Macaca fascicularis: one gene and its partners. The protein of the gene in region 2 interacts with the protein of the main gene of each other region in a pairwise test. Links are inferred from orthologs where the notes say so. Each region holds a gene or a part of one and is shown on either strand. Other genes may lie near its edges.

Region 1 (4,108 bases), on a different chromosome or scaffold from region 2:
CCTATAATCCCAACACTCTGGGAGGCCTAGGCGGGTGGATCACAAGGTCAGGCGATTGAGACCATCCTGGCTAACACAGTGAAACCCCACCTCCAATAAAAATACAAAAAATTAGCCAGGCATGGGGGCCAGCGCCTGTAGTCCCAGCGACTTGGGAGGCTGAGGCGGAGAATGACATGAACCCAGGAGGCGGAGCTTGCAGTGAGCCAAGATCTCGCCACTGCACTCCAGCCTGGGCGACAGAACGAGACTGTCTCAAAAAAAAAAAAAAAAAAAAAAAAAAGTAAAGCCACAAGATGTGACTGATTTGCTGCAATCTCGTGGTAAAACTTTAATGGATGAGGAGTGGCTTTTTATGGATGAGGAAAGAAAGTGCTTTTTTGAGAGGAATCTACTCCTGGTGAACACTGTTGAAATGACAACAAAGGATTTATAATATTATACAAACTCAGTTGATAAAGTAGCCTCGACTTCCTGGGCTCAAGGAATCCTCCTGCCTCAGCCTCCCATGCACCTGGGACCACAGGCATGCCACTATGCCTGGTTAATTTTATTTTTTTTGTAGAGACGGGGGTCTCACTTTGTTGCCCAGGCAGGTCTCAACTCCTGGGCTCAAGCAATCCTCTTGTCTCTGCCTCTCAAAGTGCTGAGATTAGGCTAGGTGCAGTGGCTCACGCTTGTAATCCCAGCACTTTCAGAGGTCAAGGAGGGTGGATCGCTTGAGGTCAGGAGTTTGAGATCAGCCTGGCCAACATGGTGAAACTTTGTCTCTACTAAAAATACAAAAATTAGCCAGGCTTGGTGGTGGACACCTGTAATAACAGCTACTCGGGAGGCTGAGGCAGGAGAATCACTTGAACCTTGGAGGTGGAGGTTGCAGTGAGCCAAGATCGCGCCATTGCACTCCAGCCTGAGCAACAGAGACTCTGTCTCAACAAATTTAAAAACAGAAATAAATAAAGTGCCGAGATTATAGGTGTGAGTTACCCTGCTCAGCCTAAAGTATTTTTTAATCAAGGTATGTAAGTTGTTTTTTGAGACATAATGGTATTGCACACTTAATAGACTGTGGTATAATGTAAAAATAACTTTTTTGCCCCATATGATCTGCAGGAAAACATAACTTTTACATGCACTGGAAAACCAAAAAAAAAAAAAAATTGTGTGACTTGCTTTACTGCAGTGGTCTGTAACTGAACCCACAAGAGCTCCAAGGTATCCCTAGATCTAGAATCCAACTACTTCTCACCATCCTTTGGGCTTCACCTTGGTCCAAGTCTCCAGTGTCTCTCATTTAGACAAGTAATTACAATAGCTTCCTAACCGGTTTCCCTTTCAGTCAGTTCCCACCAACAGACACATTAATCCTCTTAAGTAAATCAGATCATGTCAATCCCCTGTACTACCCACCTCACAACAGTAAAAGTCAAAGTCCCACGATCTACAAAGACATACCAGGTCTTACCCTCTTCCCCCATCTTCTACAATTATACTCCAGACTCAGTCCTCTGTAGCCACGCTGGTTCCCATTTTGATGTATAGCTTCTAAGCCTTAAGGCCTTTGCACTTGCAGTTCCTTCTGCCTATACCCCTATTCTCCCAGATGTATGCATGGCTGTGATCCCTCACCTCCCTGAAGTCTTTGCTCATATGTCACCTTTCTTATGACTAACAATGATATTTAAAACTGCACTACCCGGCTGGGCACGGTGGCTCACGCCTGTAATCCCAACACTCTGGGAGGCCGAAACGGGCGGATGCCTGAGCTCAGGAGTTCGAGACAGGCCTGGCCAACACGGCGCAACCCCATCTCTACTAAAAATACAAAAAATTAGCCAGGCGTGGTGGCGCGGGCCTGTAGTCCCAGCTACTCGGGAGTTTGACGCACCAGAATTGCTTGAACCCGGCAGAGGTTGCAGTGAGCCTCTCTGCAGATTGCATAGGCTGGAGTGAAGTAGATCGCGCTACTCTTCACTCCACCCCGGGCGACAGAGGCGCTCTGTCTCCAAAAAAGAAAAGAAAAAAAAAAAAAAAGAAAACCCTGCACTACTTACCATTCTTCTTTGTCTTATCTCTCTCCACTGCACTCTTAACCTTCTAATGCACAATATTTTATTTTGTTTATTGTCTGTCTTCCTACACAAGAGAGATATTAATATTAAGCTCCGTAATATTTTTTGTATGTTCTGCTCACTGCTATATACCTAAATTCTGGTACATAGTTGGAATTCAATAAACAACTGCTAAATGGAATTAACAGGCAACAGGAAAACATTCCAATCAGATATATTTTGAGATACTAATGACCAGACTCCAAGAGTGCAGAGGCAAGGCAGAGTGGAGTGAGGAAACGAAGAAACGGGAGAGGAAAGAACGGGGAAAAAAGGTAAAGGGGTTGACCCACGTGGAAAAATAGCCTACCTGGAGGGTTGAAGGACTTCTGATGCCGAGGAAACCTATCAGAAGACTGTCTCCAATACCATGATGTCGAAGCGTGGAAATTCCAAGGTTGGCCGTTGGGTTGAGGTTGAGAATCAAGAGGGGACTGGGCGTCGAAAGGGGGTTGGGCCCCGGGAAGAATCTGGGCGTCGAAGGGGGGCGGCGCCCCAGGAAGAGACTGGGCCTCCATGGGGGGCTGCGACTCAGAGGAAGGCTTTGACCCGGCTGCGGGAAGCGAGGACGTAAGCGGTGGTGGCGGCGGCGGCAGCATTGCCCAGAACACCCAGCTGTCCCGTGGCGGGGCAGTGTCGCTCAGCGGCCCTAACGTGGGAGTCAGCTCGGGAGACGCACGCCACCCGGTTGGAGTCACGAAATCACTAGCCGGCTCAGCCATACCACCTGCCGGGTTCGGAGTCTAGCACGCGACTGTGGAGCAAGCATTAGGCGTCACTTCCTTTACGGTGAACTACGCCGCTCAGCCAACCACAGGCCTTACGTCATTGGTCGGCGTCGGGAAACCTTCCATTCTTTGCTGCTGATCGCGGGATTCCATTTGGGTAGTTTTGACGTTCGTGGATAGACTCGTATCTGTGACCAGTGTCAGCCACCGCGGATGGCAAGAGACCTAATCGGACCGGCCCTGCCGCCCGGCTTCAAGGCCCGCGGAACAGCGGAGGACGAAGAGCGGGACCCGAGCCCTGGTAAGCGGCTGCGTCTCCGCTGCCCACCAGGCCCATCTACCCCCTCCCTGGGCCGGCCCTGCTCGCTGAAGAAAGTCGGAGGCCTAGGAGGGCTGAGGAATGGGGAGTGGGCGCGGCCCGACCCGAGAGAACTTTTTTTCCCTAACGGTAGCAGTGGGGAGGAGGCTGGGGGACCCTCCTAGAAACCGAGCTTTTGCGTGATTTGGCTTCGTGATGATAATACATTCTCATTTGGCGCTTAATAAGAGCTGCACGCTGCCCTAACTGACTGATACCCATTCAGTCATTTAAGCCGTATAAGGAAAAGACTATTTTCCCATGTTGCAAATGGGTACGCCGAAGCCCATGCCAGCGTAGATCATACTGCTAGCAAGTGATGGAGCGCGACTTAGAAGGAAGCGTTTCTCCTAACCTCTGTGCCATATTGCCTTCTGATTTACAAGAACCTTGCAGATCCTGTTCTCTCCAGCCCCCGACCTGCTTTCCTTGCCTGTCATTCTGTTATTGCATCTGACACATCAGCCCAGTACTCAATCCATCCTGAGTTGCTGCGCAGTTCCTTAACGCTCTAGGCTTCTGGGCTTCCTCTGGTTACATTTCTAAACATAACTGACAAACATCTCCCTATCCTTCAAGGCCCAACTTAAATGTCATACCAATAAAACCTTTCCAAATTCCCCAAAGCATTGTCACGCCTTTCTTTTTGCCCTCGGGTTTTTTCCTAATTACATTGCATATTTGGTACACTATATTTGAATAATTTGTCGACATAATCTGTCCCCACCATTGCACTATGGGCTTCTACCTGAACACGCAACAGGCACTTTGTATATACGAAACGAATGCTTCTCAGATTCCGCCATGCATACCTATCTGCTTTAATGTTTATTCACATTTGTGGACTAGCACCTACAACCCAGTTGGAGAAGAGTAAAGCTGAGTAGCCCTGCCATTTCTGAATCTAATTT
Region 2 (4,067 bases):
CCACTTATTTCTAAGTCAAACAAATACCTAAGCATAAAAGTAGTGGCTCTGGTGATTGCTAAATCTAACTTTTAAGTTTTTAAGAATAAACACCAGAAGATAGAGAGATGTCCTTGGAAATATGGTGGTTATGTCAGGCGAATCAAAGTCTGAATTCAATTATACTCAAGTTGTTTGTTTAGTTTTTAAAGCTTTTCTATCAATTTGATGAACAAGGTTCCTATTTCTTTTTCCATAAATGTAACACTTATCCACAGCAGTTCATTTTTAATTGGTTTATATTTCACATCTTTCCTGTCCATCCCACTGGACAAGTAACTCAGTTTACTTTTGCTTTACTTTTTAAACTCACAGCAAAATTATAAGTCATATAAAAATTGCAAGCTTTTTTGTTACAGAAACTATTTTTCCATCAGTACAGACCATTTGAGATTTTCTTAGAAATCAAACTTAATTAAATAAACGTAACAGCAATTTATCTGACACACACTTGATCAAGTATTACATTTCTCCTCAGGGAACTAAGGGGCAACCAACCTATTCTTCATTCACCTTCAAGTTAAACAACTTCGTTACAAAACGAAACAGAAAAGGAGGAAATTAATAGCAAAATAGGAGGTATTTCTTATATTCCAGTCAGTTTGCAAGCAAAATCACTGGAGCAAATCATAAGTTGCTGGAAGAGAACAGTAAGTACTTCAAGGCCATAATGTGCTACTTGCCCTCTGTGGTAAGCAAACTTTAGTGGCATCCAATCTAAGTTTGTATCACAGATCAATCAGAATCTTGCTTAACCATTAACCCTTACTCACACATATATATGTATATATATTATAGTTATTAGTGCCAGAAATCTAGTGACCAAAACCACTAATCTAGGACCCTGAACGATTCTACGCAAACTCACCAGAAGAAATTATCGATCAATGAAATTAAAACTTTGCAGAGTCAACTGAAACAATTTTATATTTATGAGAGTGTTAAGAACATAAACGTGGGGTTACCTTTTGCCTCCTTTTACAGCAAAAGGTTTTAACTCTGTGCTCAAAGTATGGAACGGTTTACATACTCTACTCATTTATGAAATATACTCATCTCCAAATGTCTTCATAAAATTGGTAAACACAGAATAAAGTCAATTGTTTATTTTCCTATAGCCAAACGTGTCCTGTTTGAAACATTCAAGTCATTCTATAATACATTTAAGAATTGTGCTGGACACTGCTTCCTTCCACATGCACCTTCTATTGCCAAAATACTGTAGTAAGGTGGGATATTATTTCAAGAGGTTATAGACGTTCAAAAGGAAATGAGAATCTATAGATTAATAGATCTACAGCAACTACGTACCAACAAACGCACAACTGCTACATCAAATTTGTAAATCTTCTTTTTAAAACTGAAAGGTGTTAGTTGATCTGCAATGGTGTAACTTTATAAAGTACAGTAAACCCATGAATGCCTATATAAGGCCTCAACAACTCAGTACAATTCAGTCCACTGCAACACCACAAATTCAAAGGAAATGTGGTCAAGTTCTTAGGGGCACAAAAATATTTTCGCTCAGTTAAAAAAAAAAAAAATGCCCTATTTATAATATACTCTCAGTTAATTTCCTGAAGTTTCATGGCATATATTTAGGTCTTTGGAAACTTAAACATACACACAAAATTTTTAAGTAGCAGAGTTGCTAATGGTTTTAGACGCTGAAGCATGTGCATTCCTGAATATATCCCGTTTAACAAAAAGGGGGGCGCGAATATTCACGATGATCAACTTCTTCAATGCATTGCTGGGCCATGTTCTGAAACTTTTGGTTCTAAAATCTCCTCCGAAATCCACAAAGAGAAGCCACTAAAAATCAGTTGCCATTGTGATTTGGTGCCGACTACCGCTTCTTACTACTCTTTCTTCACAGCCCTCGCCCAGAACAGTGGAGCTCTCCGAAGTCCCAATGCTAGACCGGAAAAGAGAAGCCAAAGGAGACCTGAAACCCTCTTGGCGCTGCAGGAGGCGGTCCGGCTGAAGCGTCCCCCGCTCCTCCACAACTACCCACACGTCAGGCCCGGATCCCGCTGGGAGAAGATATTTAGGAAAGGAGGAATAAGCCGTCGCCGTCACTTAGCGCCGATTTCGGCTCTTCCCGCCCGGCTCTAGTACCTGCCGTCGGCCCTCGCCCATCCCCATCTCACCCCGGCGGGGCTCGGCGCCGAAAGGGAACCCTCTCCTCGCTGGTCTCTCATTCCGATAGGCGCTAGGGCCTCTCGGACTCGGAGCGGGGCTCGAGGGTCTTCCAACAGGCCCCAAGTCCAGTCCTTCCCTCCCAAATAACATCCCGCCGAGCGTGCCCTGGCACGGCGCTTGGGAAGAGGGCCCCGGGCCTGCCTCCCGCCGACACCAAGAAGAAAAGGGAGGGAAGGAAGGGCGAAGATGGGGCCTGCCCTGGAGTCAAGTACCTTGTAGAAAGCGCCATTGGAGCCCCGCACTTCCACCACCAGCTCCTCCATCTTCTCTTCAGCCCTGCTCGCGCCGGGAGCCCGCCCCCGAGAGGTGGGCTGCGGGCGCTCGCCGCCGCCGCCGCCGCCGCCCGCCGCCCGCCGCCGCCGCCGCCGCCGCCGCCGCCCGCCGCCCGCCGCCGCCGCCGCCGCCGCCGCCGCCGCCGCCGCGCTGCCGCACGCCCCCTGGCAGCAGCGCCTCCGTCACCGCCGCCGCCCGCGCTCGCCGTCGGCCCGCCGCCCGCTCAGAGGCGGCCCTTCACCGGAAGTGAAACCGAAACGGAGCTAAGCGCCTGACTGAGGCCGAACCCTCGGCCCGCTGCGCGTGTAAACACTGAAACCACGTCACGTGATCAACGCTGTTCCCTCCCCCAGCGGGCTCAGCCCCTCGGCCCCGCCCTCTCTCTTCAAGTGGCTTGGGAGCGCGCGCATGCGCGCTTCTGGGAACCGTCCGGGGATTCGGGTCGAACGTCAGAGGCGCTGGCCGGGCGTGCGCGGGCTCGGCGGAGGGCGGGAAGGCTGAAGGGCGGTGACAGGTCGCACCGCCTCGCGAGGGCCGGAACGCCCATCTCTGCAGAGGTGCACTCAGTGGCGTGGGAAATCAAATGCATCCGGTTATCCCAGTTCGGCCTCGCTAGGATTCCCGGGGGATGTCTGGTTTGGTTTGGTTTGTTTCAAAGTAGCGGAGAGCCCGACTGAGCGGGAGGTGGAGTGGAAGGCGAGAATAGGGGTGAAGGATTAGACAGAAGAAGACTTTGAACTAGGAACGGTGGCAACCAGGGTGACCCAGGCTTTTGTGACCTGTAGAGGCAGAGGGTGAGGAGTCACGCCCTCTCTCACCAGATTTTGGGTGGCCCTGTGGAGACACCCTGTGCCCTTTAAGGGACATGGATTGAGTCAGGACCTCAAAATGTTAGCCTTTTCTCAGACCCAGCTTTGACCCACGTACTCACCTTTCCTCAACTAATTTTCATACTTTTCACTTGACCATATATTTTTTAAAAATTGGGTTAAGCACTTGAGGTTCATTTCTGCCCCTACTCTATGTGCACCCTGTACCAGAGGGTGGGGTGAACACGTGTGTAGCAGTCATGCGTCCTGTCTACAGGGGCCGATGCACCTGCTTGCAACCCTTTACCTTCTACTGTGAAACAAACCTCAACTTTTTCTTATTCCTGTTTTGCACCGTGCTTATAGCTGCCTTAATCCATGTTCCCTTCGGGATGCTGGTACCCAACTGAGAAGTTTATGTACCTATCATGTGCCAGGCACTGTGCTAAGTGCTAGCGAGAAGTCGGTGAGCAAAACAGAAAAGAAAAAAAAAAGAAGAAAAGACTGCCAGCATTGAACTTAGAACCTAGCAAAGTAGATGGACATAAATCAAATTATCAGGCAAGTAAATGAGGAGTTGCAGCTGTGATAAGGGATATGAAGAATAGGTGCTTCCATGATGGCGGAACATGACCCAGTCTGGGGTGGAGAAGGGGAAATGATTCCAGCTGGAATATGGCAGGTGAGAGTTAACTGGTAGCACTGCGTTGGCCGAGGCAGGATGACCTGCCTCAGGCAGCT
Region 3 (4,014 bases), on a different chromosome or scaffold from region 2:
TCTTTTTTTTTTTTTTTTTGTGAGACAGTCTCACTCTGTCACCCAGTCTGGAGTGCAGCAGCGGGATCATAGCTCACAGTAGCCTCAATCTCCTAGGCTCAAGCAATCCTCCCACCTCAGCCTCCTGGGTAGCTGGGACCAAAGGTGCATGCCACCACACCCATCTTTTTTTTTTTTTTTTTTTTTTTTTTTTAATTTTTAGTAGAGATGAGGTTTCGTTGAGTTGCCCAGGATGGTCTCCAATTCCTGAGCTCAAGCGATCCTCTCTCCTCGGCCTACTAAGGTGTTGGTATTACAGGTGTGAGCCACCGGTGGGCAGATAATCGCTTCTTTAAGGAGCCCGTAACGGCAGATAAGCCTTGAAGAGAAAGGTACCTGTCCTTTCAGTGCTTCCTGTCGCCTATTTGTCCGTGAAGCAATTCCAGAATGAAGTTGAGGCAGGCCCCTGTTAAAGAGGTGGCAGCTTCAGGGACTCTTCTCCAGTGAACTGGAAGGGAGGGGAAGAACTTATTCTTGAGCGAAGAAGCCCCATCAGCGTCCAGGTTCAACTGGTGGAAGGCCCCCTCCCCTAGCCCCAGTTGCATCTTCAGTCACTTGACCCTGCTACTTCTCCTCACAGCACTTTGGGCTGTAACTGGACGTTAGATGGGTTAATGTACACCCGTCTCTCCTGGCAGGTGATAAAACTCCACGGGGGCAGGGACCCTGTCTTTTGTACACCAGTGCACACCCAGGTCCTGGCACCGTACATGGAACGGAATAGGTAATCAATAAAGATTGGGTTGATAAATGAGCACTCGGAAATCATGTGGGGCCAATGAAATCCGAATGCGGCCGAAGCTCTCGTTCTCGGGTTGCTGCAGGTGTGGTTCCTAGTGATGGAGGCCGTGGAAGAAGCCCTCCCTCCCTTTCCCGCCCCCAGGGCAGGAAGCCTGGGTGCTGAGCTGTCCTCTGAGCCCGAGGGGCAGGTCCCGGGCGCGCCAGCGGTACAGCGGGGAGCGCCGAGAGCCCCTCGCCGCAGCCATTTCCTGCCCTTTGTGTGACAGCCGCAGCGGAGAAGGGGCGGGCGCTGGGCGGGGGCGGAGCCGCGGCAGGCGGAGCGGCGGGGTCGGGGCGGGGCCGAGCGCCGCGCAGCGGAGCGGGGCAGAGCATCCTGCGCCCCGGCGCGGGGCCCTGCGGTAGCCTTGGGCCCCTCCCCTGAACTCGCCGCAGAGCCAGGTAAGCGGCGCTCGCAGGCCTTGGGCCGGGCACGGGGACCGGGATGCTGCCGGGGACGGGGTTGAGGCCGTGAGGATGCGCGAAGGGCCGCCCCCTCTCCCGGTCCGCGGGGGGCGCTCGGCGCTGCGCCCGGGCTAGCGCAAGGCCCGGCCTCAGGCCCCACGCGGCCCCTTTCCCCCTCGGGCCCACGGTGCGTCCCGCGGCACCGACCCTTTGCCCGGGAGGCGCGAGCACATCGCGGAGTTCCGGCGCAGCGGCGGGGTAGCCGCAGCAGCAGGTGCGCGGCCTGGGCCGGAGCCGCCAGCCCGGGAGGAGGCGGTGCTAATCTCAGGGACCGGAGACACCTGCGGTGGCCGCGAGCCCGGCGGCGGCGACATCCTCGGGTCCAGGTACTGCAGAGCGCTGGCCCCTGCCTCTGCCTCTGTGACCACCGTCACCTCCCCCAGGGCCAGCGAGAGCCGCCTGGGCCGGCCTGGCAGCCGCCTCGGGCACACAGAACGTGTGATGGGTGGGGCGAGGGGCGCAGCGGCGATGTTTGGGGGCGGAGGGCTTTGATGAGAGAGAAGCAGGTCTGACCCGCTTGGAAGCTTTCTGGCCTACACTAGCATCGCTCTCCAGGCTGGCCGCGGGCAGGATGGAAGTGGGGGAAGGGGATGAGTGGGCTGACTCCTGGGGGAAAAGATTGTTTTTTCTTGAGCTCTGAGGAACCAGGAAGAGGCTTACCTGTCTGTTGTGACGTCTGCTTTTCAAGACAACCCTACCCGTCACCCCAAGGAACAGCCCACCTATGTGCAAAAGAAGAAGAGGTGCTCTCTGCTTGGGGATGGGGGATGGTCCACAGAAGTATGGCCCTCTATACCCAGAACCCGGCTGGAAAGGACACTGACAGCCCCCCGGTGCCCCCCCAGCACAGGGAATCTGATTTTGACCTTTGCTTGCCTACTTTCCCCAGCACAGTGGAAACATTCACCAGCCCCTACGAGCCATCAGCTGTCCTTCCAGCTAGGCCAAGAATGGGACAAGGATCCTTTTCTGCTAGTTCCTGGGTGCCTGTGCCCTCAGCATGGGCAGGGAGACGGAGGCAGTCCTGCTGGCAGGAGGGGCAAATCAGGAGAGTGTCGGTTCCTGTGTTCCCATTTCCTGCCTCCTGTCTGTGTCCCAGTTAGGGCAGTGGGTCTCACCTTTCTCTTGGATACAGGCTGTGCCAGCAACCCGGGTCCCTGAGATCTTAGAGGGTAAAAATCAGGTCCGTATCTATGGGCAGGTCTGTGAAGGCCTTGACGGTTGCTTTCTCCACCATTAGACCCTCTCTTTGTGGCCCTCCTGGTGGCCTACCACCTCCACTTCCATACAGTGCCCTGCTCTTCCCCCAGTCTCCAGTGTCAGAAATTGTTTTCAAGAAAGGAGCCAATGATTGTGTTTATCTTGAAGAGCTGAATACAAAAGAAGTTCGCATTTGATGCGGAGCAGGTGCTTTACAAGTCATTTGACCAGAAAATAAACAGAGGATGGAGGCATTTTAATGGGAAACAAAGCTTTAATGGGAAACACTGTAGAAATATTTGCTATCGCTAATGGTGGAATTTCAAACAGTGGACTGGAAGTGGAGGTGGGGAGCTGGGTAGTTCTTTTGGGAACAGGTCCCTGAAATGACAATATCTAGCAGCTGTCAGCTCTGTATTTGGCAAGGGCAGCTTTGGCCCTGGGGGCAGGAATGCTGTAAGAGTGTGTGTGCATGTGTGTGCATGAGTGCATGTTTGTTTAACTGGTCAGGGGTTACTGTCACCGGAAGGCATTTTTTGAGCACCCAGTGTCCACTTTCAGGATGAGAAACTTGTGTACACAGGGTTCCTCGTTGGCATTGGCTACCCTTTGCCAAGGCAATTATTAGACCTCAAGAAGAGAGTGTTGTTTGCTTACAAAGTCAGTGCCTCTAGATAGTTCTACACACTGAGCCTCTGGCTGGGGGCATTAGCTCTCTGCTCACTAAGCTTCTTTATTATATTTCCTGGCCAGTTCTGACCGGTTCTGTAGGCACCCAAGGCTGCCTTGTTCAGTCCCTGCTGAAAAATGAAAAAGGAAAAACTTGCTTTAGGCATTAGGCCAAGAGTCGAATGTACAACCCAATGGGGTTAGAGAATTTTACTCAAATCAGATGCTGGCCCAGAGAAGGAAGTAGACATGAATTCAAAAACTGGTAAAAGGCCCTGGGAGAACTCTACATGTCCCCTCTGATAAATCATGCCCTCTCTGATGTTCAGTGGGCCTCTGCTGCTGTCATTGACCAGAAAACTGAATGAGATGAATAGGCAACAAGCCAATTAACGGAAAAGCGCTCCTGGAAAACAGTACGGGCCCCAGTCCCTACGTTTAAGGATTGGACTACACTCTCAAGGCGGCTTCTTTGGACCTCTGTTGGCCCCAGGGGTCCACCAAGAGTGTCACAAAATGGCCTTTTGTAGCCTCCAGGTGGCCACCATAACAATGAGTCTATTTCTTTACTGGCAAGTATTAATTATTCACTTGTAATTGACGAAGCCAGACATCAGTCACCTCACTGGAGTCTTTATGAAAGGCCTTTGGTCGTGTCATTCTGAGGAGCAAAGCCATGCCTAGGGTCCAGGGGATGGGGCCCCTGCATCAGTAGTGAGATGGTGGGAGGAGGGGGGCAGGCTGCTGCCTTCTAGGCAGTGAATGGGGGTGGGGGAGGAACTAGAATATCTTTGGATGCTCTTACTACCCGAGGGGTGCATGAAAGTGCCGAGCAGAATGCTTAGCACATAGTAAGTACTAGCA

Evidence for each region.
Region 1: the proteins of FMR1 (region 2) and NUFIP1 interact in a two-hybrid assay, tested with the Homo sapiens proteins (2 studies listed by BioGRID). The link is inferred for Macaca fascicularis from reciprocal best matches to the Homo sapiens genes FMR1 and NUFIP1.
Region 3: the proteins of FMR1 (region 2) and CYFIP2 interact in a two-hybrid assay, tested with the Homo sapiens proteins (2 studies listed by BioGRID and IntAct). The link is inferred for Macaca fascicularis from reciprocal best matches to the Homo sapiens genes FMR1 and CYFIP2.

Annotation. Positions count from the first base shown.
Region 1 is NC_088391.1:24,231,813-24,235,920, forward strand, and holds the start of NUFIP1 (FMR1-interacting protein NUFIP1), read right to left. Parts: upstream 2,870-4,108; 5' UTR 2,834-2,869; coding exon 2,422-2,833; intron 1-2,421. Other genes in the region: GPALPP1 (GPALPP motifs-containing protein 1), read left to right, coding at 3,053-3,140. UniProt on the Homo sapiens protein: Binds RNA.
Region 2 is NC_088395.1:153,966,657-153,970,723, reverse strand, and holds the start of FMR1 (fragile X messenger ribonucleoprotein 1), read right to left. Parts: upstream 2,832-4,067; 5' UTR 2,508-2,831; coding exon 2,457-2,507; intron 1-2,456.
Region 3 is NC_088380.1:164,060,870-164,064,883, forward strand, and holds the start of CYFIP2 (cytoplasmic FMR1-interacting protein 2), read left to right. Parts: upstream 1-1,145; 5' UTR 1,146-1,607; intron 1,608-4,014. UniProt on the Homo sapiens protein: Involved in T-cell adhesion and p53/TP53-dependent induction of apoptosis. Does not bind RNA. As component of the WAVE1 complex, required for BDNF-NTRK2 endocytic trafficking and signaling from early endosomes.